4 linked regions of the Tribolium castaneum genome follow. The protein of the gene in region 1 purifies or fractionates together with the protein of each later gene. This does not show direct contact. Links are inferred from orthologs where the notes say so. Each region holds a gene or a part of one and is shown in the gene's direction. Other genes may lie near its edges. The genes, in order: Stip1, Tpr2, mrj and ATPCL.

Evidence for each region.
Region 2: the proteins of Stip1 (region 1) and Tpr2 purify together in Homo sapiens (affinity purification with mass spectrometry; 4 studies listed by BioGRID and IntAct, with this or other methods). This does not show direct contact. The link is inferred for Tribolium castaneum from reciprocal best matches to the Homo sapiens genes STIP1 and DNAJC7.
Region 3: the proteins of Stip1 (region 1) and mrj purify together in Homo sapiens (affinity purification with mass spectrometry; 3 studies listed by BioGRID and IntAct, with this or other methods). This does not show direct contact. The link is inferred for Tribolium castaneum from reciprocal best matches to the Homo sapiens genes STIP1 and DNAJB6.
Region 4: the proteins of Stip1 (region 1) and ATPCL fractionate together in Homo sapiens (co-fractionation; 3 studies listed by BioGRID, with this or other methods). This does not show direct contact. The link is inferred for Tribolium castaneum from reciprocal best matches to the Homo sapiens genes STIP1 and ACLY.

Annotation. Positions count from the first base shown.
Region 1 is NC_087395.1:1,456,759-1,465,236, reverse strand, and holds the start of Stip1 (stress-induced-phosphoprotein 1), read left to right. Parts: upstream 1-4,135; 5' UTR 4,136-4,233; coding exon 4,234-4,242; intron 4,243-4,293; coding exon 4,294-5,371; intron 5,372-8,478. UniProt on the Homo sapiens protein: Acts as a co-chaperone for HSP90AA1. Mediates the association of the molecular chaperones HSPA8/HSC70 and HSP90.
Region 2 is NC_087398.1:7,328,713-7,337,401, reverse strand, and holds Tpr2 (dnaJ homolog subfamily C member 7), read left to right. Parts: upstream 1-3,258; coding exon 3,259-3,392; intron 3,393-3,708; exon of another isoform or gene 3,709-3,820; coding exon of another isoform or gene 3,821-3,846; intron 3,847-5,363; coding exon 5,364-6,667; intron 6,668-6,717; coding exon 6,718-6,818; 3' UTR 6,819-7,035; downstream 7,036-8,689. Other genes in the region: uncharacterized protein LOC658204, read right to left, coding at 87-341, 385-670, 732-1,049, 1,167-1,193; mRpL10 (large ribosomal subunit protein uL10m), read left to right, coding at 1,549-1,570, 1,624-2,130, 2,179-2,372; uncharacterized protein LOC103313090, read right to left, coding at 2,388-2,615, 2,662-2,888, 2,935-3,196; tyrosine-protein kinase transmembrane receptor Ror, read right to left, coding at 8,513-8,689. UniProt on the Homo sapiens protein: Acts as a co-chaperone regulating the molecular chaperones HSP70 and HSP90 in folding of steroid receptors, such as the glucocorticoid receptor and the progesterone receptor.
Region 3 is NC_087395.1:20,015,003-20,022,568, forward strand, and holds the end of mrj (dnaJ homolog subfamily B member 6), read left to right. Parts: intron 1-317; exon of another isoform or gene 318-661; intron 662-721; 5' UTR 722-766; coding exon 767-831; intron 832-881; coding exon 882-991; intron 992-1,073; coding exon 1,074-1,181; intron 1,182-3,885; coding exon 3,886-4,068; intron 4,069-4,115; coding exon 4,116-4,380; intron 4,381-4,430; coding exon 4,431-4,530; 3' UTR 4,531-5,121; downstream 5,122-7,566. Other genes in the region: Nep1 (neprilysin-1), read right to left, coding at 7,301-7,566. UniProt on the Homo sapiens protein: Has a stimulatory effect on the ATPase activity of HSP70 in a dose-dependent and time-dependent manner and hence acts as a co-chaperone of HSP70. Plays an indispensable role in the organization of KRT8/KRT18 filaments.
Region 4 is NC_087401.1:14,140,559-14,148,595, forward strand, and holds part of ATPCL (ATP-citrate synthase), read left to right. Parts: intron 1-2,261; exon of another isoform or gene 2,262-2,422; intron 2,423-4,910; 5' UTR 4,911-4,921; coding exon 4,922-5,126; intron 5,127-5,182; coding exon 5,183-5,719; intron 5,720-8,037. UniProt on the Homo sapiens protein: Catalyzes the cleavage of citrate into oxaloacetate and acetyl-CoA, the latter serving as common substrate in multiple biochemical reactions in protein, carbohydrate and lipid metabolism.

The DNA of each region.
Region 1 (8,478 bases):
CAATCTAGAACAATTTGTCATTTTTAATAGAAAAATTTGAATTCTATTGAAGAGTACGAAACCCTAAAAAAAATATTAGATGATACCTCGATACGTAATATTTTTTTAGATTTTTGGAAATAATTAATTTGCTTCTTGTTTTCAATTTGAATTTATTTAATAATGTCAATATCTTCGGAAGAGTTGCTTGACAAAAATTAGTCATCTGATACTAAGCTTATGATACAGAAAATTTAAAAATAAACAAAAATAAAAAAATACAGAGTGATTTAAAAAACAATGACGAAAAATAGCCTAAGAGTCGGTTTATAGAAAGCTTTATTTAATTTTAAAATGTAATACCTAGTTAAAAGTTAACAGCAAATAGACCAACCAAATTGTTCTAATTTGGCCACGTGATCAGTTAATCACAGATTTAATGGCGCATAAATAAATGTATCTTTTCACATTTTATTATTTTGCTCGATAATGATACACTTTACAAAAAATGTGCAAGAGTATTCTTATAAATAATACTTATACTCATATACAGGGTGAGTCATTGATACGGGGTGCTCGATTGCACCTACACTGTCAAAGATATTGAAATGAATCAAATGGCACTGCAAATGGGAAGTCAAATTGCACGTTCTAAAATTATTTTGCTCTATACAGGTTAGAGTGCAGCCGTTAACAGAGTTTTTTTTAATGGCACTCCTTGTATATTTGTACATATTAAATTTTGCACGTTTTTAGGCTTTATAAATAAGTTTAGTTTATGCAATTTGCTTTAACCATTCAGAAGTTATTTAATTTTTTCTACAATTAGGCATTTCTTGGAAGCAGCTGCGTACGTATTAGCCACCAGCAAGATATTTTCAGTTATATAGAAAAAACTTAACTTTAAGTATCTAACAAAAAAATATGTGTGTTTGCTATTTAGGCAGAGAAGCATTTGTCTGTATTTTACGTTTTGGGTCTATTCTTGTTAACAAGCTTTACAAAAAAGTCCTACATAAAGTTTTGTATATTTGAAGAAAATTTGGGCTGTAAAAGACTTACTTAACCCCGATATCTAGAAGTCATTTAGTAATGATTGGTTTTGTCCCTTTTTTATACTTTTTTTTACATAACTACGAGTAGTACTGGTATTAAAAAGCTATTTTCTTCTGTATCTCAAAAACTCACGTGAAAATTTGCGTTTGCAAAAAATGATTTATTATTTTCTTTATGTACATATGAGTATTTTTTGTGATTTTTTTTACAATTCCATACAATAAAATTATTATCAATAATTCAAATAAAAATACATATTAATACTAGTGTTAATAAAATTAAAATATGAAAACATTAATTCTTCAAACTGTCATTCTAAAACAAACGATGCTTAAATAATATTTTGTACAAAAATTTAAAGTCAAAACCAAAGTTCATTAAATGTCCAAAATACGTATTAAACAAAATCTTCTTACGGTAAATACAAAAAATACAAAATCTGAAAAAATCAAAGATAAGTTTCAGTAAAATGTTTATTCCTAAAAAATGGTTAAGCAAAATAAAATAGAAGCAAAATAATTTAACCGACAAATTTCAGTGCTAAAATGTTCAAAAACAAAAGTAGTTTTTGACTATTTTTTTTTGAAATTAGTTGGTTTTATGATTGAACATTTTAATTTTATTAATTTTGTTCGTTCTGTTCTGTTCATGTCATCACAGTACATCTTCCCCTACGTTTTTTAAATTATTATGAATATTTGTTTAAAATTTTAATAAAAAAATATCAAAACAATTTTTTCAAATAAGTGTTACGTTGTCTCAAATTCTAATTATTTAAAACACTCAATTCCTTTTATCGATTTAAAATTGGATTACAAATATCGCCAAAAATAAAAAAGTAAATTTTATTACTACTTGTTTTAGGTAAAACTATTACTTGAAATACTGAGTCTGTTGGCAACACGGAACTTAAATTTTTAAGGATATCAATAGAGTACGCTTTCTGTTAACAACAATTTAACATTCTTGTGGGGTTGTACGTCAAATAATTGTCAAAAAAAATCGAATTCGGTTGCAATTTTGCAAATTACGAGCACAAATACTTTCAAATCTATTGCCAACTGACTCTGTATTTCTGGATCAGTCTATAGTAAAATAAATTTTATTACTACTTGTTTTTTAGCCCAGTCAAATTAGAAAAATCGGTGGAAAAAATTCCTAGAGAGTTGGAGTTTTTTTTTTTTAAAGCTTTCTTTACACTTGGGTAGACATATATCAAAAGTCCCCAAGGTTGGAGGGCGAGCTTGAGGAGGGGGAGGGGGTTAAAGCAGTCTTTTTTTGGTTTTTTGCTTTAACGGAAACTGTTACTTCTATCAATTTTTGTCTTCTGATCAAAATTAAAGCCAATAAAAAGCATTTTTCTTGTAGGACTAACCATAAGCGAGTTATAGAGCTGGAAAAAAATAATCGTATAAAATGTGGGTCATCTTCAGATGCTGAATTGTGGTCTTCATCTGGAGAGCCCGAGGGAAAAAAGTATTTTTCTCCCTTATTTCCCACTCTTAGCTTAGGTGGGAGACCCTTTATACAGCATGCTCAAAAACTGGCGCACCAACTCAGTAGTACGTTGTTGAGAAACATGTGTACATTATGGGAAAAATCTTGAAAAAAATCCTAAAGTCATATTTTAAAAAATCTCAAACCACAAACTTTTTTTGTTAACTTCCTCAATTTTTATTATTTTTTAATGTTTTTATGTTTTACAGTAAGTAATCGTTCCGTAACAAAACGATGAATAATTATTTTTAAATTTACTATCAGATTTTAGCAGTTTTTTTAATTTAAAAAATTAAAATTCATCCAAAAAATCACAATGTGTAGATGTGACAACACTGGGAATTATTTCCTAGGAAACCGTTTCAAAAATAATTTATTTTTATTGTTGCTCAAATTCTATTGCGATCATGGCTGTTAGACAACGTTGCCACATATCATTTATCTAAAATTAGTTATTTATCAATAACTTTAATACAAAAATTTTTTTTACTATGTACCATAAAAATCAAGTATTCCGTATTTAAAATTTCTTAATTAAAACGTGTTCTTTTTCAATTAATAGTGATATTTTAACAATTATTTTTAACTTTTGCTTATTTTTTGGTTAATGAGCTAACGAGAGATAAAGACAACATTTCCAAGGCTAATAAAATTTTACGTTTTTCAAAATTTTCAATTTTTTTAAGGTTCGATTAAATTAAGGTATACATGTGTTATACCATAGAACTCAGAAAAAATGCTCTTTTCAAAAATATTAATTTGACCCTTGTTGTTATTCAAAAAAATCAAGTTATCCTTGTATCCGAAGAACAAATGGAAATATAAATTTAATAAACATCTGAAACGATACAATTTATATACTCTTAAGCATATGCCCAATTTTAATAAATTTTGATTAATAGTTTTTATAATATTTAACTGTATCCATATTTCAGTGATCCTGTATAAATACTTATGGTATACTAATGTTTAGTTATACAATGTCATGTTGATACCAAACTTCAAAAGCTAGTAGCTCGCTTACGGTTAGTCATACAACAATAAGGCTAGGACCATTTTGTAGGAAATTTTATCTACTTTAATTTTGATAAGAAGATAAAAATTGCTAGGGGTGACCGTTTTCGAGATATAAGCAAAAAAAAACAAAAAAAACAGTTTGAACCCCTCCCTTTCCTCGAGCTTGCCCCCCCATCTTCGGGGACTTTTGGTATATGTCTGACGAAATGTAAAGGAAGCTTTTAAAAAAATTACTCTCTAGGAGTTTTTCCACCATTTTTGTCTAATTTGATTGGGCTATTTATCGCACATTGGGTTTAACTCTATTGTCCTCTTTAGCCTTAATGCTCTATCTGCCTATATTTAATTTTGTTTGCCTTGTTTTTATTTTTTCTGAAAACTGCGCACTCTGGTGACAATAACAGAACTATCGTGTACCGAGACAGGCAACCAACAATACACTATTTTTTTAATTTTGATTAAAAAACTATTTTCAATGAAATTACCGTTATGTACGTTCTTTCACTAGTAGAATAATGTAATTGAAACAATGTTACGCTTGATTAATTAATAAATTGTCTGAAAATGTCAAAAAATATATCCCTTTTGACAGATCGTGTGGTGGGGGAATCTTCAATGACTGGAAACTTCTCGAATAAGAATCGTCGAGAAACGTGTTTTTGTGATTATTAAGTGCCGGTCAAAATGGAACAAGTAAGTACACATTTATTTAATGCAAAAATCCTTTTACGATGTTTCGTTTAGGTCGCCGCTTTGAAAGACAAAGGCAATGCCGCACTGGCCGCCAACAAGTTCGAAGAGGCAATCAAACACTACACCGAAGCCATCAAACTCGACCCCTCGAACCACGTCCTGTACTCCAACCGTTCCGCCGCCTTTGCCAAAGCCAACAACCACGAATCGGCTCTCGAAGACGCCAACAAAACGGTCGAACTGAAGCCCGACTGGGCCAAGGGCTACTCGCGGAAGGGGGCTGCCTTGGCCTACCTGGGGCGCCTGGACGAGGCCATCGCCACGTACGAGCGCGGCTTGCAGATCGAGCCCGCCAACCCCCAGCTCCAGGAGGGGCTGCAGGAGGTCAAAGCCCAGAAAACAGCCAAGGGGTTCCCCAATCCTTTCAACCGACCTGACCTCATGGAGAAGCTTCGCGGGGACCCCCGGACCAAGCCCCTGCTCGATGACCCCAACTACGTCGCGACGCTCCACATGCTCAAAACAAACCCCAATCTCCTCGGCCAGAAACTACAAGACCCCAATATTTTGACCACGTTGAGTGTCTTGATTGGAATCGATCCGGGGGAAGAACCGATGGAGACCGAACCGGTGTACACGCCACCGAAGAAGCCCGAACCGAAGAAAGAACCCGAGCCGGACTTACCCGAGAACAAGAAACTGGCGAAAGCGGCGAAGGAACAAGGGAATGAATTTTACAAAAAGAAGAATTTTGAAAAAGCGATCGAGTTTTATAATCAGGCGATTGAACACGATCCCACCGATATCACGTTTTATAATAATTTGGCGGCGGTTTTTTTCGAACAGAAGGATTACGATCGATGTATTAAGGAGTGCGAGAGGGCTATTGATATAGGGAGGGAGAATAGAGCCGATTTTAAATTAATTGCAAAGTCGTTTCTTAGGATTGGGAATGCGTATAAGAGACTAAAGGATTATCAAAATGCGAAAATTTATTACGAAAAGTCAATGTCCGAACATAGGACGCCTGAAATTAAAACTCTGTTGTCCGATGTTGAGAAGATTATCAAAGAAGAGGAACGGAAAGCTTATGTTAATCCAGAATTAGCTGAAAAAGAGAAGGAAATTGGTAAGTTTTAATTTTCGATGGAAAACAAGTTGGTAAAATTGCATAATGTGTGGCTCTATTTATTGAGCAAGTGAACATGCTCAGGTTCCTTGTTAAAATGATCAATTTTTAAATAAAAACACGAATTTCAAAGTAATAAAAAAGTTTACTCAATTACCAAAAATTTTAAATAAAGAAACATCTATTAGCTGTTTCAAAACTATAAAAACACCAACCTCGCATTTTACTAAATTATTTTTAAAAATAAGGTTGATAAAACTGTAAAGTAATTATTAATAATTTGTCATTGAATCCACAAATTACATTATCTATTAACTTTTTGAAGTGCATGAATAATTTATGACAGTTAGTTTTTAAAGAAAATGCGACGTTGGCGTTTTTATAGTTTTGAAACAGTTAATACTTACATTTTTATTCATACAATTTAGAGCATTTACTTGCAAAATTTGAAGTAAAAGCTTTTACTTAATTTTATTCATACGGCCCTTTTTTTATCGGTTTTTATTTTTTCTTCAGCTGTCATTTCGAATTCGTAAGAAAAATCATTGCAAGTTCATATAAACGCGAACTATTTAATTAAAATTCTAATTATTAGAACATTTTTTGATTTTATTTTAGAAATTGTCACCAAAAACTAGAAAATGATTTAACAATTTCTTCACTTTTTACCGATTTCTATTGCTTCTTAGTTATATATATTTTTTGTAAAATTACGTAATTCTTGACTAATTTTACTTAAGAAAAAGTGGTTATGTAATTAACAAATTTAGATCAAATTTTTCTCTGAATGTAATTAAAAAAAATCACAAAGTAGCAAATTTTAAATAAAACAAATGTGCCAATCTTAATTGCAAGAGCAAATAGTTTTTATTTTATCTAAAAGGTTTTTATGTTTTCTTTAGCTGTTGTTACAAATTTGTAAGAAAAACCATTTAAATTCTGATAAACTCGAATTATGAAATTAAAATTTTGTATATTAGAACATTCTTAAATTTTATTTTAGAAATTACCACCAGGAATTTAGAAATTTGCCCAAACCTTTAAACGCTTGGTTTTAAATTAAAAAAAAAAGCGATTTAACAATTTATCTGCATTTTTGGCCGATTTTTGTTGCTTTTTAGTTGTATATATTTTTTTTATTACGTAATTCTTGGCAAATTTTTCTTAAGAAAAGTGTTGTGTAATTAATAAATTTACATCAAACTTTTCCTGCCCGTAAATTAAAAAAATAAACATAAAATAGCAAATTTAAATTAAAAAAATGTACCAATCTTAAACCCAAAAAATACTAATTATGGTATTGCCAACCCGATGGCTATTTGACACTTGATTACAAGAACAAATATCTTTATTTTATCCAAACGGTTTTTATTTTTTCTTCTCCTGTCACTTCCAATTTGTAAGAAAAATCGATTAAATTCGGATAAACGCGGATCATTTAATTAAAAATTTATTTATTAGAACATTTTAAAAAAGAAATTAAAAATTTTTTGAACAAATTATTAGAACGCTTGGTTTTAAAATTAGAAAATCATTTCTATTGCTCCTTAGTTAAAATTGCGAAATTTTTGACATTTTTTCTTAAAAAAAGTGGATATTTAATTATTAAATTCAGGTCAATTTTCCTCTGCCTGTAAGTTAAAAAAATACACATAAAATAGCAAGTTGTTTTAGACAATTTTATACGAAGGGCTTCATCATTCGGTTCCTTAAATAAAAAGCAATTGCTTCTTACAAAATACGGCAAGAACAAAAAAAATGTCAGTAATTTTATTTTATTTTTTATTTTAATTATTTTGCTTTGTCTTTAGTTACATTACTTTTATCTTTTTTAAATTTTGTTTATTTATTTTGTCGAGATCTCTGAAAATATGTGAATTTGTTGCTCCAAAACATTTTTGTTCAAAAGACTCAAACTTTTTCGTTATATAATTGTATTTCCGGCATTCGAATATACAGGTTGAGTCTAGAAAAAGTATTTTTTACAATATCTTAAAAACTAATTTGTGGAAATGTAGAATTTTGGCTTGTGTTGCTTAAATCTCTTGAGTTAAATGAATTTTTGCGTCAAAAACAATCCATTTTTCTTGAAATTATCAAAAAAAAATTGTAATATAGTTCCATTTAAACGATTTGTTTGTTTGTTTCGAAGAAAACTTTCGAATTACGATGACATGCTAACACAATAAATTGATTACTTCATGAATCGCCAGTTATCCGACCCTTTATTTAATTTATTCTCTATAAACAAATTGCTATAATTTGAAAATTACTTAAACAAACTACGGGATTATCCAGGAATTGTTTATTTTTTCATGCACAGTTTTACAAATTTACACCATTTTTTTGTAATCCTTAGTTTTTATGAAAAATTTTTTTTTGTTAAATACAACTCTGTGACAAAATTATTGCATACTTCTAAATTCATAAATATGGACTTATGCTTTTCGCTAATTATTTTTTTTAAGAAGATAAAAGAGAATATGCCCTCTTGTTCTTACCAATCCAATAATAACATAACTAATATGTTTTCTTGTTTAAAAAAAATCCCTAAACTCGTTGTAATTACTATTTTTAGGTTCTACTAAAAATTCTTAGTTAAATATATTTTTTCTAAAATTGCGTAATTCTTGACTAATTTTACTTAAGAAAAAGTGGTTATGTAATTAATAAATTTAGGTCAAATTTTCTCTGACTAATTCTTGACTAATTTTACTTAAGAAAAAGTGGTTATGTAATTAATAAATTTAGGTCAAATTTTCTCTGAATGTAATTAAAAAAAATCACAAAGTAGCAAATTTTAAATAAAAAAAGTGTCAATCTTAATTACAAGAGTAAATAGTTTTTATTTTATCTAAAAGGTTTTTATTTTTTCTTTAGCTGATGTTACAAATTTGTAAAAAAAAACATTTAAATTCATATAAACTCGAATTATGAAATTAAAATTCTATATATTAGAACATTCTTAAATTTTATTTTAGAAATGATCACCAGGAATTTAGAAATTTGACCAAACCCTTAAATGCTTGGTTTTAAAATAAAAAATAACGATTTAACAATTTCTCTGCATTTTTGACCGATTTCTGTTGCTTTTTAGTTGTATATTT
Region 2 (8,689 bases), on another chromosome or scaffold:
GAATAAGTAATAAAAGCATTTATCATTCGTCGTACGTACATACAAATACTAAATTTCAAGTTTTACGTAAACATGTAAATTCTTACCTTCAACTTCTTTAAAATCTTTCACCGAGAGTTGAATTAGCAGCCCCGCGATGCAATCGCGCACCAAAATCTCGCACTTCGTCTTAATTTTCTGCAGTTCTTCCGGTTTACAATTCGCTTTCAACTTTTGCAGTTCGGCTATTCTCTGCTGCCTGTTGTCCGGTGCCGGCAAAGCCGAATCCACCAAATCATTTTGACACACATTATTCGAACTATTCTGCAATTTATCGTCGTCGCCTGCAGATTGGCGCTCTTCTAAAACCCACTTGAAGAATCAGAAAAATCGAAAAAACCTTACCGTTGCTATTAGGCGCTTCCGGTGCTTCATTCTTCTGGCAATGCTTGGTGGGCTTCGTTGCTTTTCCGCTTTTTTGCAGATGGGGGTAAATCCCATCCTTGAAGGTGTATTTGGCGACTTCGCGTGGGCCGGACGTCGCCAAGGCTTTGGTGTACGAGGAAGCTTCGCGCCAGATTTCTATATCCGTGTTGACGGTGTCTGGATAGACGGTTTTGGGGTCTTGCGTTATCAAGACGTCACATCTCATAATGTCGCAGTAGTCTGCAAGGCACACGGCGTCTTCGGCCTGGAAAAACGCGGTCAAAGCAAGAAAATTTTCAGTTTCTTAATAGTAATTGTTTTTGTACCATATTTATGAAACCCTTATGGCGATTGTCGAAATGCATGTCCAGGTATTTCTCCTCGAAAAACGACTTGCCGCAGAGGCCGCACGTCCATTGCGAGGGCCGGTGCTGCTGTTTGGCGGCCTGCTGGGGCCCGAAGATGTCCCTAATGGGGTGGAAGGGGCACTCGATGGGCAGACTGACTTTGTATTTTTCTAAAATCGGTATCCATTTGTTCTGGATTATTTTCCGCACGATTCGGGCATTATCTCGCGGACACGAGATTTTGAAAACTGTGGGCCCCGGCCATGGGATCAACGAAAGCATAAACAACGCAATTATCTGAAATTGATTTTAGTTTTATTTTAAAAATTCATAGAGAAATGGGAAGCGCTCGTAATATCGATTTGCGAACATCATTTTTTCGGAATTGTTTACACACGACTAAAATTGACTCACCTGCACGTTGAAATAATTGGACTTCATTCATATTCTTTACCGGTACTAGGATGAAAGAAAACTCTACCTTTCTTGTGGCATTTAGAAAGCATCGTATGCTACGACGCCGAAGACGCTGGACGTCGCCGCAAGTTGCTAGGCGACATTCACGGTCATTTAGCCTTCGGAAATCGGTTAATTATTCACTTATTACGCCACTTCATCGAAATTTAAGCCACATTGGAGAACTGATCCTGATCCGGTGCTTTTCTAATTTTTTTCTTATTATTGATTTTTAACGCCGGTTGTTTATGCAACCAAAATTACGATTGTCAACCTGACAGTTATAGGTTATGTACCCCTGCACCAGTTTTTAGAAATTTTGTCCAATTTAATTAAAACAATGGCTTTAATTGCCAGAGGAGGTGAATGACACAGTTAATAATGCATTAGCTTGTTTTTGAAATGAATGTTTTAGGCCTTTTCGAACGTTTGAGCCCCCTTGTCCAAGCGAAACGTTTCAGAGGCAAAATCAATATCCAGCGGCCGAAACCCGTTCATCGCGAACGATCCATTATGATGACACTAACGAATCCATTCTTTATCAGTACTAAAAAGGGCAAAACACCCATTGACTTGTGCACAAAATCGCAAGATAAAATTGTGAAAGATGAACACAACCCGTATCAGCAAATAATTGCAGGCGAATTGAGAATGTGGTTCAACACTTCGCGACTCATTGCCTTTTATCACTTGAATCCAATGAAATCAGACCAAAGGTTTAAAGCCTATGCCATGTTCAAAAAAAGCGACATGCTTTTTAAACAATATGGAAAGAAAACACTTGAAATCGCAGTCAAGGATACGAAATTTGAACCGGTTTTGGATTTTTACGTCTCGCAAAACATTATGGTCTTTAGTCCGCAACCGGAAGTAAAGAAATTGCTAAAAATCACGAAAAGGTTTCCCCAGCTTGTCTTACTAGGTATTGTATAATCCAGTTTTTGTTATTTTTAATTAATTATGCCTTTAGCTGCCATATTTGAGGGCAAATTTGTGAGTAAAGACGAATTAATTGAACTGGAAAAAATACCAAACTTGCAAACAGCTCAAGCAGCTTTGGTCCAAACACTCAACAGTGCAGCCACTACAATACATCAGCAGTTGAACCAACATCAAAGCACCCTTGTTTCACAACTCGAACAAAGAATAAAACAATTAGAATAGCTCAATAAATGTATTTCATAGATCATTTCTTTTTGCTTTTTTACCCTTTTTGCCTTTCCCTTTTTTCTTCCCTTTTTTACGTGGAGCGACGTCTGGTTGTACGCGGTGTTGGGCACATAGGGAAAAATTGGGCAAACACAAGAACCTGACCAAGGGCAGGTTTCTAAGATATAGTTTACAGAAATAAACCATATTGTTCTTAATTTGTTCCAAATTAAACAATTTGATACTATGTGGTGGGAACTAAAAATAATACAGTTTTTACCCACACTTGACCCCCATCACTTACTGGTAGAGAATGACACATTTGCAGTCCTTTAAAATACTCGTACAATTTTTCAGGACCAACATCCAAAACACTGGTGAAAAATAAATGAGTTAGGTAGAACTGTGACAACAAGGCCCCAGTTTGTTCCACGGTGTAACTGGCAGACGTGCAGAATTTAGTCACAGAGTACATCAACTCCCTGAATATGATCCGGGGAAGTCCCTTGGGCTTTTTGTGCAATTTTCCCTCTGCAACGAAAACTTGGCAAATTTTAAACGATTGTAATATTACTACCAATGAAATTCCTCTTGAGTCGTTTACTCTTAATGCCCATCAAGTGGATCACTTCAGGTTTTGTTAAATAATCCCAGGTGCAAATGTGTGGTTCCGCAGTTGGCAGTTTAACTCCTTTACAGGCCAAGTACTGGTCCGTTTGTGAGTCCGAAGTGTCGCTCTGAGTACTGTCGTCCTCTTGGCGCGTTACGAAGTAGTTTTTAATGTCGATTTCGTATTTGTTGGCGTTGAAGGCGATACTGTCAAACGCATTTCCATTCATTTCGTTTCAAAATTCCCGCGTTGGTGAAAATTTATCGATTGGTCACAAATTAGCTAGTGCGCATGCCCACAGTACGAATTTTGAATTCGGTGATGAATCGGTCTTACTCGTTTCACAACTTGTGCAAGATGGCAGATTTTGGGGAAGATGTTGTTATGGACTCTGAAGATTTGATAATTCCAAAAAATCCAGCCGAGTAAGTGCTATTTTACAACAATTAGATTTATTCCTCGATTTTGAGCACTGCTTTCGTGGGGTTTCACGTCGAAATGTCGATGACACGAGTGTCACTGACTCACATTTGTTACTGCAATTTCCCACAATTAATTGCTATTGATTCGGTTATTTCAGTGAACCACTTGGTGCGATTTTAAATTTGATTTGTGCAGTCTTAACGATTTCCGTGGGTTATTTTTAATCTAAGGTCGTACACCTTTGTAATTACTGGTTCACTCCTCCACAGTTCAGTGTTTATATTTGGTCCGGCGTGCAAATTAACAATTTAACCTTTTGTTTGGACAGTTATTTTATTTATAACGTGGATTTTATGGCCTTTGCATTATTTCTCCTAACTTGTCACTGTGACACTTTCGCGGTTTTTACCAATTTGTAACGAGAAAGACCATGGAAGTTGAGGATTGCCACAATATGTGAGTGTTGTTTTTGAATTTGTTTACCTCATAAATGGGCATAAGAACTGTAAGGTTCTCACTTTTAAATTGGATTATCTTTGTTGTTTATTAACGACAAATGTAACCTACCGAAGGAATAAACATTGACCACACGAGTGTTGGTTTTTGATAAGATAAAAACAATGTGATTTATTTACAAACTCTATTTGTGACTATGATTGTGATCAAAGTTGAAGAGAACCCAATTCAAAAAACCCTAATCTGGATGTGTAACGAATTTTTATCCACTAAGGTTTTTATTTCGTCAGAATATTACGACTTTGAGGTCCATGCTATAAGTTTTAAAGGGCTGTTAAAATTTAATCCACCCTAAAATCAGAAATCTAGCAATTTTATTGGTTGTTGCTATAGTAACAACGATTTATGGCCCTTAAATTTTCACAGTTTAGCATGTTAATTGGCTAGTTTGTTCTATATTTTTGCTTAGTCACGAATGAAAATCAGATCAATTCATTGATTAAATATTTACTAAATTAGAAAAACAAAAGTTAATATTTTCTTCTAATGAAGTATCGTTTCAAATCGCATGAAATTAGGGTAATATTGGTAGGTAGGTCATTTACTGGTTCACGTGTAGATATTGTTTCTGCAATATTGTTTGTTGCTCCTTGTCTCGGAGATTAGTGAATTAGCCCAGTTAAATTAAACAAAGAAATTCTTAGAGAGTTGGATTTTTTTAAAGCATTCTTTACACTTGGGTAGAATTATATCAAAAGTTCCCGAGGGTGGGGAGTGAGCTTGAGGAGGGGGAGGGGGTTAAAGAAGTATTTTTTGTTTTTTTTTTGTCTCGGAAACGGTTACTCCTATCAACTTTTATCTTCTTACCAAAATTAAAACTGATAAAATTTCCCATTTAATTTATCTTTAAAAAATATTTTTTTCTCATGTTTCTTATGGAAATCTCCAAGTAATTATTCAATTGGTTGGATTTAAATTAATTGAAAACGAATACCGTACTATTTTTTTGGGTTCAGAAAATCGTACGATTTTGTATCTCGTTTCGTCTCCTAAGTTATAGTTCTTCGTATTTCAGCTTTAACTTTTTTCCTAATGCCTCAAGTCCTTTCTATCCTACTTAATTATTTAAGATATTTTGTATTCAGACCCCGCACTAGGTAAAATAATATTTTATTCTTTGTCTTATGGCAAACTACTACCAAACTAAAACGGACAGAAGAAAATGAGAGAAAAAGTTTACAGTAGAGTAAGCTTTTTATGTTTGTTTGGGTCGTTATTTTTAATTGTTTTTAATAGGTTGTTAACATCGTTAGTTACTCAGCCAAATTCTTATTAAATTTGATAAGTTGGTAGTTATGTGAACTTCCGTTATATCATTGTTAATATTCGTTTTTTCCCCAGTTCTTTCCTATAATTTTCTGTCTTCATAGCGTGATTCACTCCATTAAAAGGCAATTTTCACTCATTCTGGTCACACTTAAGTTGCGTTGTTCCTGTGAAAGCCGTGCTTGTTTCAGGCTTGCCGAATTGAAAAAAGAAAATGGCAATCAATTATACAAAGTCAAGCAATACCGATCTGCCCTCAATCTCTACACCGAAGCCATCGAACTATGCCCCGAAACCGCCGCCTATTACTCGAACCGCTCGGCATGTTACATGATGTTGAACAACTTTCAAGAAGCATTGGAGGATGCACGCAAATCCATAACCATCGATCCCGCATTCAGCAAAGGCTACATTCGAATATTGAAATGCGCTATAGCCCTTGGCGACCTTACAACAGCAGAAAATGCCATCAAACAGATCAATCTGCTTGACAAGAACGCCAACATCAACAATGAAACTCGTTCGTTCGAAAAACTGAGACAGTTCGAAACAGAGGCAGCAAAAGCAATGGAAAAGAAAGACTTCCGAAAAGTTGTTTACTGCATGGATAGGTGTTTGGATGAAGCGCCAACTTGCACACGTTACAAAATAATGAAAGCCGAATGTTTGGCTTTCTTGGGACGATACCAGGAGTCGCAAGAAATCGCCAACACGGCCTTGCATTTGGACAAAACAAACGCTGATGCGATTTACGTACGGGGAATGTGTCTTTATTACGAAGATAATTTGGACAGCGCCTTTAACCACTTCCAGCAAGTCTTGCGACTTGCACCCGACCACAAAAAGGCTATGGACATCTACAAGAGAGCTAAAGAACTCAAAAAGACGAAGGAAAGTGGCAATGAAGCGTATAAAAACTGCCGGTTCCAGGAAGCTTTCACTCTTTATACCGAAGCACTAGCAATCGACCCTCTCAACAAAAAGGCCAACGCGAAACTTTACTTCAACCGTGCCACAGTCCAACACCGGCTCACCAAAACCAGAGAAGCCGTCGATGACTGCACTTCGGCCCTTGAACTCGACGACACGTATCTCAAGGCCCTTCTGCGAAGGGCGAGCTGCTACATGGACTTGGGCGAGTACGAGGACGCAGTCCGGGATTACGAAAAAGTGTGCAAGTTGAATAAAAGTCGTGAGCACCGCAAGTTGCTCCAAGATGCGAAATTCGCACTCAAAAAGTCCAAACGCAAGGATTATTACAAGATTTTGGGAGTGGAGAGGAACGCAAACGATAGCGAGATTAAGAAAGCTTACAGGAAGAAAGCGTTGATGTTGCATCCGGACAGGCATGCCAACGCTACGGACGCCGTTAAAAAAGACCAGGAGAAGAAGTTTAAGGAGCTGGGGGAGGCATACGGGATTTTGTCAGATCCGAAGAAAAAGGCCAGGTATGATAGTGGGCAAGACATGGATGAGTTCGATGGGGGAATGTCAGGTATGGCGGTTTTTTTGGGTTGGAATAGGGGTGATGGAGGTTTTTTGCAGATATTGACCCGACTCAAGTGTTTCAGTCGTTCTTTGGACAAGCGCACAGTTGCCCCAATGATTTCAGTTTTAACACGGGATTTCCTTTCCAGTTCAGTTAGGAGCCTGGTGTACTGTCTAAGTCATAATCTAAAGCCCCTCACATTCCACTCCTTCTTGACAGTAAATTGTGCTAGATTTAACAAATCCTAAAGTTTAACCCGTTTATTTTCCTAATGCCTCTTCTGTTTATTTATTTTGAGGAAGACTGCACAAGTTTTCTTGTTTCATTATTGTAAATCGTTCCAAATGTAAATTTAATATATGTATAATACTTTATCAGTTTATTAATTTACATACAAGTCCACACTTTCCTGGCTGATTGTCCCCCGAATCGGCGTCCTCTCGTGGCGTTTTCTTCTTCCCTTTTGATTTTTGACTTTTATCTATGTTTGTCATTGTTTTAGGTTTAACTGTACAGTTCGGTTTGTACCGCGAGAGTTGCACGGGTTCCATAGTTTTCTTGTATCGTTGACAGATTTTTGCCTTCTCGTCTGTGCTCCTCCTCGTGTCCACTTTAGACATAATGTTTTGAAACCGTTTGAGCTGGATTACGGGGAGTTCTCTCGATTCGAGCGTGGTGTTTGTCCTCATCCTTTGCACAAAACCGCGTTTTAAACTCGACTCGTTCTGCGCTTTTTCTTGCTTGGAATAGTTTTCTTTCTGGTAGAGATCGCGTTCCTTGAACCACAATCGCATATACTCGTTGGACATTAAGAAGCGGAAATTCACGTTTGTGACCTGTTTGGCGAAAATTATGAGGAATTGGAGTACGAGTGTTGTTACGTACGTTTTCATACTGTGGCTTAAATCCCCACGTTCCAACTTCGCGTGCTTTGGATGAGATTATGTGGTCGGTGGGGTAGATGGCCGTTGCGCGTTTCCATTTCAGGGTGCTTTTCATTAAGATAAATTTAAGTTTCGATTTGAAGTTGACAAAAAGTGACAAGTGGCACGGGTCTATTGATGAATGAAAAATCGCTTGGTTTAATATTTTATTTACAATAAAATTCGATACAGTCGCAATAACATTGAATTAATTATTTCGTAAGGTTTAACATCAGTCGTACTATCGGAGATAGTCTCGAGTCTTTGGTTTGTATTGGGGGAGGGGAATAAAAGACACCGATTTATTTGCAATTATTTGGCACATATTCGAAAACACCCGTTACAAAGGACAAATTAACACCTTTGTTACTTTAACAACACTGAGGATTATCGATCGGTTACAATTTAGTACGCGTTCACACGTGAAGATTCTAGAAGTCATTGTTTTGGGGAAAATATTTAAACCATTAGAACACCTCAGACATTTGATTCGTATTTCTTGATTTGTTAAAAAGTTGAGAACGATTTTTTTAGGTACATTTTAGTGCTTTCCTATTTCTCACAAAATGAACGGACTCAGTAATATAAATAAGGCACTCGATTAAACAGTTACCTACCCTGTCAGTATTTTACGTTTTAAGTTAAGTAGTTCAGTCAAGTATTGTCAAATAATGAGCAGGGTATTTAATTTCGTTGAGAGCAATTTTGCGTGTGAAGAACTGAATTTCAAAGACCTGTCCCAACTCTACTCATTGCTAATGTTGTTTTTTGCCCCACCTTAACTGTTTTTTAAAAAAATATAATTTAATTAAACTACTACATATCCATATATACAGCAAGTGAATCCACACAAATTTCACACATTCGCGCCCAGCATTTTAATCGAATTTGCCCACACAACCGTATTCTTCTTCTTCTTATGTCCTTGTCAATCCGGTAAAGTCTCTAAATACTGTACAGGTTCCTTGACCTCGTTCGCTAACAGATATCCTTGCGCGTCCAGTAAATCTTCCTGGGAGATCATCCTCAGCGGAGGCGGTCTGGGTAAACTCCGCACGTTTTTCACGTTGACTTTTTGGGTTTCGTTCTCGTACTGGATGCTCAC
Region 3 (7,566 bases), about 19 Mb from region 1:
CTCGCAAAGTGACTTATCATTTTTGGGAATTAATTTACAAGTAGTCAGATTATGACGTTAGTAATTTGCAAGTTTGTTTGGTTCGGTTGAAGGTTGGCAGTTGTGTGCCCAAAAAACGGTACATTGTTGCCAATTTAGTGGTCTGTTCCCACCAAAAATGCGGAATCGTGTAAATTGCCTTGAATTGCGAGTCATTGACCGGTAGGTGGCGCCCTTTGGGCGCTAAATTTGAAAGAGAAAGTCTGCAATGTGCATGCAAAGCAGTGAGTCATTAGGTTGGTGATTATGATATTCTAAATAATCAAACAAGCGAATTCTTGCTGTTTCGCGTCAGAGTGTCTTCAGGGTCGTGTTGCGTGTCCGTACTGTTACATAAAAGTAATTAGACGATTTTGAACAAGAACCTTCATCTGTGCGAAATAAACAAAACAATTTCGATAATAATCGTGAAACGTGTCCACTCTAGTGGAACGGCGTTATGAAATCTCTATTATTACGGTGAAAAAGCGGTCGGTGATTGATTCGGAACGCTCCCATTTCGATTTGAATTTGTAATTTCGGTCGAGAGTGCTATGTGACAAAATTCAAAATTGCTTGTCGTTTCGATACGACTGTCATAAAATTTCTCATTGCTGCTTTTGTGATGTGTATTGTTTGGACGGTAATCTAATCATATCAGATGATTCAAATGAGAGAGATAAGAGTTTTGTTGCTGTTTCAGTAACCTTCCTTAAAGCTGGGGCATAAGGACGCCAGTGGCACCAAAATGGTGGACTATTACAAAGTCCTCGAGGTGTCAAAAAACGCAACGACTGCTGAAATTAAGAAAGCGTAAGTTCTAAACTCGTGAGTGCCAAAACGTCCTTAACTTTCAATTGCAGTTACCGCAAATTGGCTTTGAAATGGCATCCCGACAAGAACCAAGACAACATCGAGGACGCCACAAAGAAGTTCAAAGAGATCTCCGAAGCGTACGAAGTTCTTTCTGATGGTAAGTCCGCTTGAAGTTGTAGACATACAGTTGGATGTGTTTAGGTTCCACTTTTGATTTTGATTTTTTTCGGGTAATTTAGATTCGAAACGAAAAATTTACGACAACCGCTCGAATAGGTCCACTAGTACAAGAACGAGGTCCTACAGGAGTCACTTTGACACTCATACCCCCTTTCATCGTTATTTCGGTAGATACAAAAAAGTGTGCTAAACGGGCCCTTTTCTCATCTCCAACAATAACAAAATGTGCAAAGTTCATTACAACATTCTAATTAATCAATGGGGGTATAATGATACTATTCACCAAGACGAAATTTACAAAAAAAGGCGAGACGCGAGTAAATAAAAGTCGACTATCTACATTTTCAGTGATATTTTTTAACTTAACAATTGTAACTCAGTCAGAATCAAAAGAGTATATCGCAACTCTTTTGTTTTTGTTTTGAACGCATCGTATATGTAGGTACTCGTGTTTTTCTATTTCGCTTCTGTTATGACTTTCTGGCACAGTTTTTGATAAAATAGTGTGGTAGTGTTACAGTCTCTGGAACTGTTCTGACGGTCCTCGGTGTTAATAAATAATACCTCGCAATTTTGGTAAGATGTTAACTCACCAGGGTTAACTATTTGAAAATTAATTTCCAAAAAGAAAAACACTTGCTAGAAACCGAATTTTCATTTTTTTATTATTTATGGCTAGGGACATTTATTAGGTTGGTATCGCTACCTTTGAGATGGAAAAGATTATTTTTTTACAGTAAGTGACAGTTCATGTCAATTTTTTGATTGTTTAACCTGTTCCCAACCCATTAGTAAAAGAACTAAATTATAAAAAATCTTAATTTTTATTTTATTTTTTTGAGAGATTTGTTACAAAAAATATTGTACTTAACTTGTTTGGAAAGTAATTTTTCACATTCGCACTTCATGCAGCACTCGTTGCGCTCGTGCAGCAAACAGAGTGCTCTTGTGGGAAATTGCTTTTTTCCTCGTTAGGTAATTGTTTTTAAATTTCTCCTTAAAAGTGTGATCGTACACGATAAATGTGTTGGTTTTTCATCATTTTACAATTTCAAAATTGATAACGACAAAGCCAATAATCACGAGACATATGAGTTACTTTTTTATATTTGTTTTTAGTATCTGTAACCATATTTGGTTATGTGTAATTTTACTCGTAGATTATGATTGCTTCTAGAAGTTCTAGAACAATAAAATTGAGAGACCTGTATGCAGGTAGAACTGATAAAGATAATAATAATTGTTTGTGTAAAAACAATAAATGTTATTTTAGTTAATCCGTAAAAACTTACGATTTCGTATTTATTTGTTTCTTGAAAAGATTCAAATTGTGCGAATTATTGAAACTGACCGAGTTTTTTTAGGATGGTACAGATTAAAAGTACACAAAAATTGTCTCTCTTCACAGAACTCGCTCCTAAAACATGTAACATTTTTTCACATATTGTAAAAGCAAAAATTGACTCTTTTTCCTATCTTGAGTTCAAAAAAGTTGCACAAAAACCATTGGCACACATTTGATGAATGGTTAGTGTCATTTAGCCAATCCAAAATCCTACTCAAAATTATTTGATCTTAAAATTGGACTAAATACTCGTGAGGCGGTTATGACGACATAATTGAAATTGAAATAATTTAACTTAAAGCGCGGATATAGAAAATCGGTTTTCGTTATTGTATAAGTAAAGGTAATAAGCAGTTCTAGCACTATAATTTGAGACAAAACTGTTACTTAAGTTGCCAATGCTTTTAAACTAATAGACAGCTGGATAATAATTGGAGGAGAAACAAGATCAAAAATAAGTCAATTTTCTGTGCTCAAAAGCTTCGGGTTTCGAATTTAAATTGTTTTAAAGATCTAGGTTTTTTTGGGTTAGACCTGTTTTAATTTGGAAATCAGTGTCGACATTGTCCTGAAGATGCCCCTCCTGAAGAGCGGGTGAAACGTCGACGCTGGGTTTCAAATTAACGCGGTCTAACCCAATTCTTTATTTGGTACTAGCCGCGAAAGCTTGTGTTAAATTGGTTTAAATTCAACTAGTTCACTAATTACTTGGAAAAAAAGGCAGGAACATTGGGCATCAAATTCTTAATACGAGTAAGTTGACCAAAATTTTCATAAAAAACATGAGAAAAAAAATTAAAGTTGCTTCTGTCTCAAACTTTTCAAAACGTTGCGAATATGGTGAAAGATACAAGAAAAATATAGGAAAGAAATTATTAAATTTAAATAAGTTGACTTTTCATGAGCCTTAGCTTTTAAATAAATTTGACACTTTACGAAATTCAGTATAATAACTAATTACAAAAATACAGACTTGAACCGAGCGTTTTGTGCCTTAACTATGTACGTACCTTATGGAAAAAACAACTTCTTAGTCCTTCATCAACTACTTTAAAAATGTGATCATTTTTCAAGAATAAAATTTTTCGAAATTATTTTTAGTTTTCGAGTTATTAAAAAACAATTTTAAATGGCACCCTACTACCGCGATTTTTTTGGTAAGATACCTTGATAAGTAGGCCGCTTGGGTCCGTGCTTTTCCCAAATCTGTATACATTTACTTCTCTCTTGCCCTTTTTTTGCGTTTTTTTTTTCATATCGTACTCAGTTAATTACATCAATGTTTAAGCTCCCCTCGATTTTCTTAGAGAGTGTATAATTTGTAATGAATTTGCACATTTGCTTTAAAATTCCGGCCTGTACTACTAAAATGACTAATTTTGGCATTTTCCGACTAAAATCTGCGGTTTTTCTAACTCTAGCCTCTTTTTTACCCTCTTAGAGCAGGTCCACAACGATTCTGAGGACTCGTCTGTTAGCTTTTTCTCCTTGTTGTAGCCCCCATTCATTGTGGCATTTTTTTCTAGATAAGAAACGTCGTATGTACGACCAGTACGGTAAAGAAGGGCTCATCAACGGCGGTAGTCGTAGTCGCAGCCGCCACGATGACGAATTCGACTTTGGCGGTTTCGGTTTCTTCACTTTCAGAGATCCGGAGGACGTTTTCAGGGAGTTTTTCGGGGGTTCTACTCTTGCCGACTTGTTTGGAGGTACGTCCTAAGATTGTTTTGTATTTTTTGTTAAGTTTGAGTCGTAGATTTTCACGATCACGGGCATAGAGACCGGCGACGGAACAGACATTCACATCCACAGAATGCTCTCAGTTCGAGTCTGTTCAGCCCGTTCGGGGTGAGTCTGGGGGGTAGTTTCATGGACGAGTTTTTCAATACGGGCCATGGGGGATTCACCTCCTTCAGCACCATAAATAGTACGTTTACAAACGGGGCGGGGGGCACGGCCAACGTCAAGAGGACGTCAACGTCGACGCGCTTCGCCAACGGGAAGAAAATCACCACGAAGAAGTGAGTAGTGGATTTTTGGTGGTATTTTGAAGGTGATTTTGCGGTTTCAGGGTGTACGAGAACGGGAGAGAGACGGTGATGACGTACGAGAACGATATCCTCAAATCGAAGACTGTGAATGGGGTTCCTCAGAGTCTGACGTACAGTTAAACACACTGCTACTTACAAAATTAGAAGAATCTACAATTTATGTGATCTTGATGTTGATCGATTTCTGGCCACGCAGTGTTGCCAAATTGTCAGTGTGTGTATTAAAGACTTCTTGCAACTGGTTTCAAGTTTTTTTTATTCAGTTGTACAATAAAATATTATGATTCTGTTTTCAGAATTTTTGTAGTATCTTAATTTTTAATAAGATGTTATGATGATGTAAGAATCGAGGAGGTTTTTACATCATTGCAGTTTAGGTTAGCTAGAGATAGGAATTGATGACGCTCTTGAACGAGAGGTGCTCAGGATGAGTTGTTTAGTTACTAGTTACATTTTTGTCATGTGAAAAAGTTCGGTTTTCGTTTTGTTTTTGCCAAGACTGCTCATTTTTTATTAAGCTTGATTCAAAGGAGGAATTAACATGGAAGAGATATTTTGTATTATGCAACGTTTTAATTTTAATTTAATATTAATTTGCTAGTTTTTTCCCAAGCACTTACTATTACTGTTAAGTACACAAATGATTATACTATTAATGTGTGCTTAGAGATGTACAGTCACAGTGTTAGAAAAAATATAATATAAACGATTTCCGCATTTTTTATTTTAATCCCACCAAAACAGACAGCTGGAAAACAGAGTTCTCACCCAAATGGGACCTTTACAGTCCAATAGAACACCACTGTGTCCATCCGAATTGGCTATCTACAGTTTACAACTTCGTTTATTAGTAGTGCCGAGTTTTTCGAATTGTTGATTTTTTGTGTAAAAATATTACGTTTCAAAAAATCGTGTTTCTCTAAACATATCGCTGTCGAAAATTAACTACTCTTGTTAGAATTTCGAAATGTAGAAAACCAGAGTGGTAATATTAAAAATTTCACCACGTTCTTGTACTTATTGCCTTTAGAAGTCTATAGATAATAATTTTTTAGTGAAAACATCAGGTCTATTCATTCAATGGTTTTGGAAATATCAATATTTAAGATTTAGTTAAAGTTGTTTTTTATCGTCTGTTTGATTGATTGATAACTGATAACTAATTCGGTATTTAGGGAATGCAGACACACTTTAATTTGGTAAATTGTTTATTGTCAACGTTTCGCCAGCTTTTTGGGGCTTTTTCAGGATAGTAAATAGGGAACCATTTGGGTCCAGTAAGATTTAGACAAAGTTTTGGTGGTTCGCAACGGCACAGGCCAGGAATACAATCATTCAGAGTTCAGAGACGTTCTTTCTAATTCTTTACAACATAATATTATTATTATTATCCGAGGGTTAATTTTTAGATTAATCAATAAATATTAAAGTAAAGATAAAAAAAATGGTAAAAATTTGGTTGCACACTCTAACTACTTACATAAAGGAAGGTGAAACAACGAACCCATTATCTTTCGAAGCATCAGATAAATTAATAAGGCTTTCAAAATAACACAATCTTAGTCATTCATTAATCACAGTCATAACTTAAATTTCATTTCAAATCTGTACAAAAACCTGAACAGCGGATGATAGGTAGTTTTGAGGTCAAATAAGACGCGAATTAGGATTCTTGGTATAAGAAACGAATTTTGGTTTATACTACATGATGCTAATGATAAAACCTGTCTACCCATTAAAAGAAAAAAATAATTATGAAATGTGTTAATAGCGAAAACGCAAACAACACAAACCTCAATGCGAAAATTTGGTATAAATTTACTTTTTTTGTTGAAAATGAATCAGACTAATAGTACGATAATATTATACCGTGTGACTGCATTTATTCGCTTTCTGGAGTGACTAACATGAATTTCTATACAGTAACTTTATTCCATCTTCGATAAACCTTTTTGCAAAAAATGATAACAGAACGCTGATCCTCCCTCTACAATGCTTTGAGCTTCTATTTCTAATGTGGAAGTGTGTTGACATTTTGAGTTATTTTGGTGATTTGTGTTTACTAAAAAGGCTTAGTAAATCTCAAAAAAAAAATTTTTACAACTTGCAGGGCTTCGTATGAAACAGTTTTTAGGTCATTTTTATCTTCATATGACTTTGCCACGTATTTCCAATCTGTTGTAACAAGTTTATTATAAAATTGTTTTGTCATTTGCTTTTTGTATTTTGAGTTTAAATGCAAGTTTAGTCAAGAGCGTTGTGAAAATTCTATGACTTAAATAACATGAGATCGAAAATATACTCAATTAGAGCTAGCCTTGAAAGCTTTAGCCAGATCATATGCTGTGTAAAACTTCAAAAGTGCCGCCGTAAATAAACGGCTAAAATATGGCCAAAGTTCTACAGGCACAGCTTGCTCTAATTGAGTATATTTTCGATCTCATGTTAGTGTCTTCAGTAGCAGTCAATTTTTGTTTATGTTAATATTAACCGCATTTTGATTATGTGTCGAATTAAATATCTACGGAAGATTTTTCGTAAAAAATGTGTGTTATTTTTAGATATACTAATTTTTTCGTTGGATTCTACCTACTTTCGGGTGAAGAAAATTCTTGTTAGTATCTTAAAAATTATATTTAATAATAAACAGTACACCCAGTAATAATGTGAAAATACATACTTTGTATATTAGTACAGACCATGTTTAGAATAGGAAAAGTAGGTTTATTACATGTAAAATTGCGTACAGTTTTATATAAAACAATAATATTTACATTGCACAAGTTAGGTGTGGGCCCCGCTACAAAGGCCCGGCGATAATATAGATGAAAGTGTTAAATTTTTGCAAATACAACGAGACACTTGACATAGAGCGCGTGAAAGTCCCATTTTACCAAACGCTACATTTATTAGTCGGGTTCATCGGCGATCCGAGCGGGCAATCGTAAGCTTTGGCGAAATCCCACGAGTTGGAGAGAGGACCCAACACCCGGATGGGTCCGGGCGAGTGCACGCTGGAGCGGACTTTGGTCAGTGCATCCTCTGGCCGCATAGACCCGCACCAGATCTGGGCGTAGTTGAGGAAAAACAGCTGGTCATGGGTTAGGTTCAAACCGGGCAAGTCCGGCTCTTCCCCGTGCTGGGACACCCATTTAC
Region 4 (8,037 bases), on another chromosome or scaffold:
AGCACTGGGCGGTTTTTTCCCACACATAACCTTCAAATTTTTACCGGCGTCTCGAAGCACTTGGAATGTGAATGAGGCGTTAACGGCGCACTGGGGTTATTAAAGGGGGCACAACTGCAGGTTCCTGACCTGGGGAAGGTCGTCTCCGATTGCATCAGACAAGAGATAAAGTTGCAAAGTTGTTGTTTTCACGGGGCTATCACGCTGTTTTTGGGAGGGGACAGGGCCGGCTTAGGGGGACATTGACGTCACATACAGTACTACGGAATGCATTGTTATGTGGGCAAGGACGTCAGGTTTTCAGAGACAAATCGGAAAAAACCTAATTGAATTCAAATTAAGCAAAATCTCCCAAGTTCGAATTTTGTTATGAAAATTTGTTCAGGAAACTAAAACTAGAAAAAAACTTATAGAATTTGGAATTATTTTGAGCGAGAACAACTAATGTTAATTATGTGACACTTTTGTGATAATTTTTATCATTTGAAGGGTGACGATAGTGCGTTTCCTTTTCTACAATCACAACAAGAATAAGATTATTTTTTTGGGTTTCCTTGATTTGTTTGTGTAGGTTTTTTGGCTCTAAATTAATTGTTTCTTACATTTTTAAAATATTTTAATCAGGACACGTAACATACAGGTGGGCTTTCCAACACAATTTATCTACAGAAAACAGCTATTTGTTGATTTTATCAATGACATAGTGCTTCCTTTTTTAAATCCACTTAATAAAGATTCTTTTGAAGATAAAAGGAGCGATTTTATGTCTTTAAAGTCTTTAAAGTTTATTAATTTTTCTATTTCTGTTACTTAATACGGAGAAAATTGGTCAAAAAGGAATTTTCCAATTAATGATTAACAATTTTTTATGAAAAATTGTCTGGGGAATTCTAACCGTCTTGATACGGAACTAATAGTTTTCGAGGAAAAGAATTTTTTATTTTAAAAAGTCAAAAAAAATTAAAACTCCTTCAAAGTGAAAGCTATATTTCCAGTCAGTTCCAGGTTTTCTCCATTTAATAGATAATTAAAAGCAGATTTTGTCGGTTTGTTAAATTTTTTTTGAAAAATGCATTTAAAACTTTACAATTTTGAAAAACTAATTTTTGTCATTTGATGCGAATTTCAAACCCAGAATAAATTTTTTGGGCTATATGTACGAAAATCATTTCGACCAATCGTCTGGCGTCGAGAAATCGAGAAAATTTTGGTTACTTTAGAAGTTATCGACGAATATATTAAATTTTTTGGGTTATTTTTTGTGCCCTTTTTTTATCTTCTTATGTTTGGGTGCGTATTTTAAACCCAGAATAAAGTTTTTTGGGCTATATGTACGTAAATCGTTTCGACAAATCGCTTGGCGTCGAGAAATTTCGAAAATTTTGCTTTGTTTTGAAGTTATCGAGGGATATATTAAATTTTTTCGGTTATTTTTTGTGCCTTTTTTTTCTATTTTTTTTTCTTCGTAAGTTGGGAAATTAGTTGAGCTTTTCAAAAATACCAAACTTCAAGAGCCACGTCTGATAGTTTCGGAGATATTTGAGATTTTCTGCTTCAGAGGAATTGAAAAATTACCAAAATTTTTGAAAAAAAATATAAAAACCGAAATACATGCTTTAGAATTTCACCTAATGACGTTCGCTTTGTTCTTTCGAAATAGTTGATTACCAAACGCTTTTGGAAAAATAAATGCCCACATGAACAATATTTGTTTGCAGCAAGAATATTAAAAAAAAGTGTATAAAAAAATCAAAAAACTTTTTCGAAATAGTTGATTACTTAACGTCTGGAAAATATAAAGCCCACATGAAGAAACTTTACTGTTATGTTTTACTTTAGAAATAGTTTACAGCACGGGCGAAGGGAGTACAATATTTTTGGGCCGATTTTAAAAAAATAATGTTCACACAACAAATAAAATTCCCTATTTGCACAGCAAGCACCGCTGTTTACCTAGTGACATGCGATAAATTGCAAAAATACTGATCAAATAGTAAAAATAAATCGCGTGATTTGAAAATATAATCGATGACATTTTCGTAACACGCGTCCGAGCAGTGGTGTCATCCACCGACCCCGACCTTCATTTCCTACACCTCCTGTATACCGCAAGGTTGCCAACCTAACGAAATTTCCCAAAATTTTCAAAAAAAAAAAATCAAAACCAGGTGAAACTCGTCAAAAATAGGCCCAGAAAAGGTCTTCAATGACCTCTAAATTCAACGTCGGGACAATCCGGTCGTCCCCCCAACACACATCGTACGATAATACTTCATTCACGCGATTTGCTGGAATCTGGTCAGTCTTGGAGTGACTTTCTCCGTGTCATATTCTTATCACACAAATTCCTTATCAACGCGATATTAAACGAGAGATCGCATCTCGAGTGGTGCAGTGCACTGGTGGACGTGGAAACGTTAAGGTAAAGTCCCGGTTTTACTTGAAAACATTACACGTGTACGTGTGTGTGTGGTATGTGTCAGTTTTTAATTTTTCATAAGGGCAAGGTCAACGCATTCGAAATGTGGTGTGCGTTCGATTTTTCTTTATTTTCATCCGAGTTTCACCGAAATTAGAAAGTCGACATAAGTGAATCCCGCCGAAAATTTTGCAACAATTGGTTAATTTAGGTCGATTATTAATTATTTATAGCTGACGCTACGTATTATTACTATGCAATTTTCGATTTTTTATCAACTGCGAAAACAATTTTTTTCTTCGCGACGACACAAGTAATGAATTACTGACGCTCATGTTAACTTTTTTGAGTGACTTTCTCTTCGTAATTATCGTAATTGATGGAAAAATGTAATTAAAAATTGTAGTTTTTTTCGTGTAGTTACGGTAACTACAAAATTATCGCATTATAATACAGGGTGAAGCATTTAACTCGTTTATGAGTGTTTCTTAATGGAAGACTGATTTGTGGATAATTGGCAACTCTCACATTTCTTAAATGGTTACTTCCGGTGAAACCGGAAGTGCATAACTAGAAATGCAAATGTGTAATTGGAGTGCGTGCAAGTTCATTAATTTGACACATTTTCATCCAAATATTAATTAATTAAGCAATAATTTAAATTTCACTTTTCGTTTGATTAAAATATTTTTTTTTGGCCTTCTGTACAGTCACAATAAAATAGAATGACACCTCTACCAACCTGTCCAAACGCACACACATACCGAAAAGATTTGTGGCTTCGGTGTGGCATTATTTTTAATCGTGACTCTACATCTAATTATACAGACTGAACCAAAAATAGAGCACAAAATTTATATCTTTGTAAATAGTCATTAAAAAAAAAGAAAAGTTTGATTTAATTTTTTTACAGTGACATTCTAATTTCTAATTTTTTTAATGACAACTGACATTCTTGTTTTTTTTTTGATAGTACGTATTTTTATGGTAATAAGAAAAAAAATATAGAAATGAAACTATAAATAAAAAAATTATAAAATAAAAAATATATTGATAATTAAGCGTAATCGATTTTTTTGACTTATTTTATAAGTGGCAATACTTTTTTGTATTTTTTTTCTAAATTGGCATAAAATCATTTAATACGACACCTTAACACAAAATATGGAAGGACGGAAAAAAATAAAGCTTTTTTTATTTTATTTTCTTTTTTTTTTATTTTTTTATACTTACCGGAATGATAGAAATATGTAAAAAAATTAAAAATGACGTCATTACTCAAAAACGTATGACGTCAGAAATGTCATTGTGGTGTCAAAATGTAGCATTAAAAATAATAAAATCGACCTGTTTAAGGATTTTTGGTTTTGGTACTTTTGGTTCACTCTGTATACATATTATTAAAATCCATTTAAAAAAATATACTGAATGAACACGGTTTTGAATGACAATTTTTAGGTTAATGTTTTAACTACTGTTTGAAGTTTGAAGTGTCAGATAATAATTAAAAACCAAATTCAGTACTACCAACCCAAAAAGTCATTCTTGATCACTGGATATAAATTTATTTACAGTTGACAAACTTGCTTTTATCACCCAAATTTCACAATCAAATTTTATCAAATAAGTTGCCAATTTAATGTTGCCAACTCTAGATAAAAATATTTTGATATTTGGGAGATTTTTATTATATTTTAAAAGTAATTCAAATAAATTGTGTAAAAATATATTTTACTCTGTCATGCTATATATTAATTAATTAATTTTAATTATATGCACTTCTAGAAAAAAATTACTGACAGTGAAAAAATAAAGTATTTAATATTATTAGATATTATTAGTTTTTGAGATATAATACTAAAATGTGCTATTAGTAGAGTCACCCTGTATACGTTTTAAAGAATTTTGAAACTGACATTTAGTTGAATTTTAATTTTTTTATGTTTAAAATTAAGTTGGCATTTAAGTGCCATATCTTTTGTTTCTACATTTTTCAATGTGACCAACATAATTTCTGATTTACAAACACTAATACTATTTTATTGTGGTTGTATTTGCCAAAAAAACTTCAGTATTGCCAACTTAAACAAACAATAAAAAAATCATATGATACTTTTTGCTATAAATTTAGATTGACATTTGGTTACAAAGAAGCGAAAATTTGACTATGTGTTTAATTAAATTATTGATCAAAAACTACAACAACATAAAAAATGTTTAATGACAAAAAATGAGTTAAAACAGTAATAAACATTCTCTTATTTTTAATTTCGACCATTAACACAAAACAAATTAACTACATGGAAGATAACAACATGACGTCAACTATTTTTGTTTTGTTCGTTTGTATTGTCACTATTTATAGAAGAGAATACATAACTCTACTATGACTTTTTTTACTAGTTCAGTTATCTATGTGTTTATTTATTTATAGACAACATTGTTGTTATATTTAAATAACATTGATTTTTTTTATCAATTCGTTGATTAGAAACTAGAAAAATGTCGGCGAAGGCAATAAGAGAAGCGACCGGAAAAAATCTAATCAACAAACACTTACCTGGCGGTACCGCCGCTGTGCAATGTCGCTTCGCTTCGGTCGAACCCGAAACGAAATTTTCCGAATTAGTGGCCACACATCCATGGTTGAAAAGCGAAAAGTTGGTTGTGAAACCTGACCAACTTATCAAACGGAGAGGAAAATTAGGTACGAGCGTAGCGAGTGCTTCAAACTTTTTAAACTATATATATTTTTTTATTTAGGTTTGATCGCTGTCAATAAAGATTTAGCCGAAGTGCAGCAATGGATAAGCGATCGTATGAACAAAGAGCAAAAAATCGGTGCCGCCACCGGCAAACTTCGCAATTTTATCATCGAACCTTTTGTTCCTCACAAAGACAACGAAGAAGTCTATGTTTGTATTTATTCGCACCGACATGGCGATACGATCCTGTTTTATCATCAAGGTGGCGTTGATATCGGTGATGTTGATTCGAAAGCTGTGAAATTGGAGGTTCCTGTGGGTGAAAGTGTCGATGAAAAGCGCATCACGGAGGCTTTGTTGAGTCAAGTTGATGCGAGTAAAAAGGCGATGATTGCGAATTTTGTGAATAATTTGTACAAGTTGTACGTTGATTTGTATTTTACTTATTTGGAAATTAATCCATTGGTCGTCACCCAGAAGGAGATTTATGTTTTGGATTTGGCGGCTAAGTTGGACGCTACGGCTGATTTTATTTGTAAGCCAATGTGGGGCGAGATTGATTATCCGCCGCCGTTTGGACGTGATGCATATCCAGGTGAGTCAAAAATTGTTTGAGAAATACAGTGTGTCTAACATAATAAGTATAGTGTTAGGCGCAGTCGGTAGGAATTTTTTTTGTTTTTTGGTTTTTTAATAAATTGGTTAATTAATTGAGACTTGACTGCCGCCTGACTTACTTGGAATTTTTTGTGTGTGGTGGATAATCGGGGATCTTAGATTTCTGACAGTTAAGAAATTATTTAGTTACTCTTTTTCCATATATTTATTTTTTTTTCGAATTTTTCGTGTTGTAAGACAATGAAAATGTATTAAAAGACACAACGGTTGGGCGCAGTCGGTAGGTAAAGAAATCGATTTTTTGAAATTTTTTCGAAGAATTAACTCAAATGTATATTTTTGAGCAAATTTTTATGCAAAATATAATTTTTTGGTTACTTTTATCTAGAAGTAAATTTGAAAAAAAAATTGTTTACAAGTTATTTCAACTTTTTAGCTTTTAGCTAACTTGTACCCCACATGTTTTGTTATCAATTTCGACACTTACCAACGTTTTGATTGCTCTGCGTTGTAAACTAATGGGAAATTTTTTATGAGAAAGTTTTTAATTACCACTTGAATGCTGAAAAATGTGCGTAACTGCTCGAAAAACGCCTAAGTACCAGACTTTTTACTTTATTTTTGACTTATTTTTAACGAACTTTAGTCTACAATTTTGGAATTATTGGACGGTTTAGCAATTTTTTTAAAGTGTGCTTAAATGCTCGAAAGATGCAAAAATTGCTTTTAAAAAAAACATACGCTGTTTGGATAGAAAAGCTTCCCCAATCGCTCGCAAAACGAAAAATAATGTAATTTTCGTTCGAATTTTTTACGATTTTTTTGGCTCAGTTTAGGTGAAGTATGAAAAAATCGTTGTTATTATTATCATTGGATTGGCAAATTCGATAGTTTTTTTATGAAAACACTTTAATGTTCAAAATTTTATGAAAAAAATTCTATGACTTAAGACGGTCTAGTCAGCTGCGGTATTCCAAAAATACAAAAAAATTGGTGTACTGTTATAATAAATAAAAATATATGCTATATTCTTTAGAAAAAAGTTGAAAACTAACCAAATTAAAAAAATTGGTTTGCCATTGTTTTTTTTTTTATTTTATTTTGAACGACACTATTTTTTATTTTTGTGTTTTTTTTTGTAAAAATTTTGAGATATTAGTAGTATCGAGATAAAAATTTTTACTGGGAAGAAAAGTTTAATAAAAAATACACAAAATTATTTTTCATGCTTTTGCAGATTTTTTTTAATTTACAATATCTTACTTCTAGTTTATAAAATTTATTAATTTCTTATATTTTTTTCAACGTTAGTATATTTATGTGTTTTGTTTCTAAAGCCATCCAAAATTACTATATACAGACTTAATCAAAAGTAACGCACAAAATTTATAGCTTTCTCAATAGTCATTTTTCAAAAAAAATTTCTAGCACTTAGATTTTATTTTTTTAAATACTTTATTTTGACATTATAGAGCCATTTATGATGTCATTTGTTTTTGAGTGGTGATGTCATTCTTATTTTTTTTTAATGACAACCGACATTTTTGTTCACTGAGTACACTTTTTTACTTTTACCTGGTAATAAGAAAAAAATGAAATTAAAAATTAAAAAATTATGAAAAAAAAATTGCTCATTAAACATGGACATGAGGCGGCAATTGTTTTTTATTATAATTTTTTGTACAATTTGCATGAAAACACTTAATATATGACACCTAAATACAAAAACAAAAACAAAAATAAACAAACACTCTTTGTAAAACAAAGCCAAAATAAAAAGATAAAGTTCCTTGTGCAATACTCTCAATAATTTTTATAACTTTTTTATTTTATTTTCTTCTTTTTTTAAGTTTTTTTATTTATTTTTTTGAACTTTTTTGTACTTTTCAGAAAGATAAAGATGTGTATCTGTCAATAATTAAAAATGACGTAAGAAATATTATTTGTGTCAAAATGTCGCATTTAAAAAAAATAAAAAACTATTGAATTTTTGAACCAGTTTTGTTTATTTTTTCTTTATATTTTTTAATTTTCTGGTTTGAATAGTTCTTTTTTACCCACCTTCAATTTAAACAAAATATTTCAATATTTTTTTATCACAAAAACGTGTTTATGGGCTGTGTTGCTGTGTTTTAAATTTTGGTTTATTTTTGACGAAATTTTGCTAAAACAATCGTGTTTTTTTGCTTCTTATTTTTACGAAAAATATTTGTTTTAACCAGTTTTTAACTATGGCTAATAACAGAAATTATGTAAAGTAGGCAAAAAATGTATTAAATCACGTTGCCACACGTT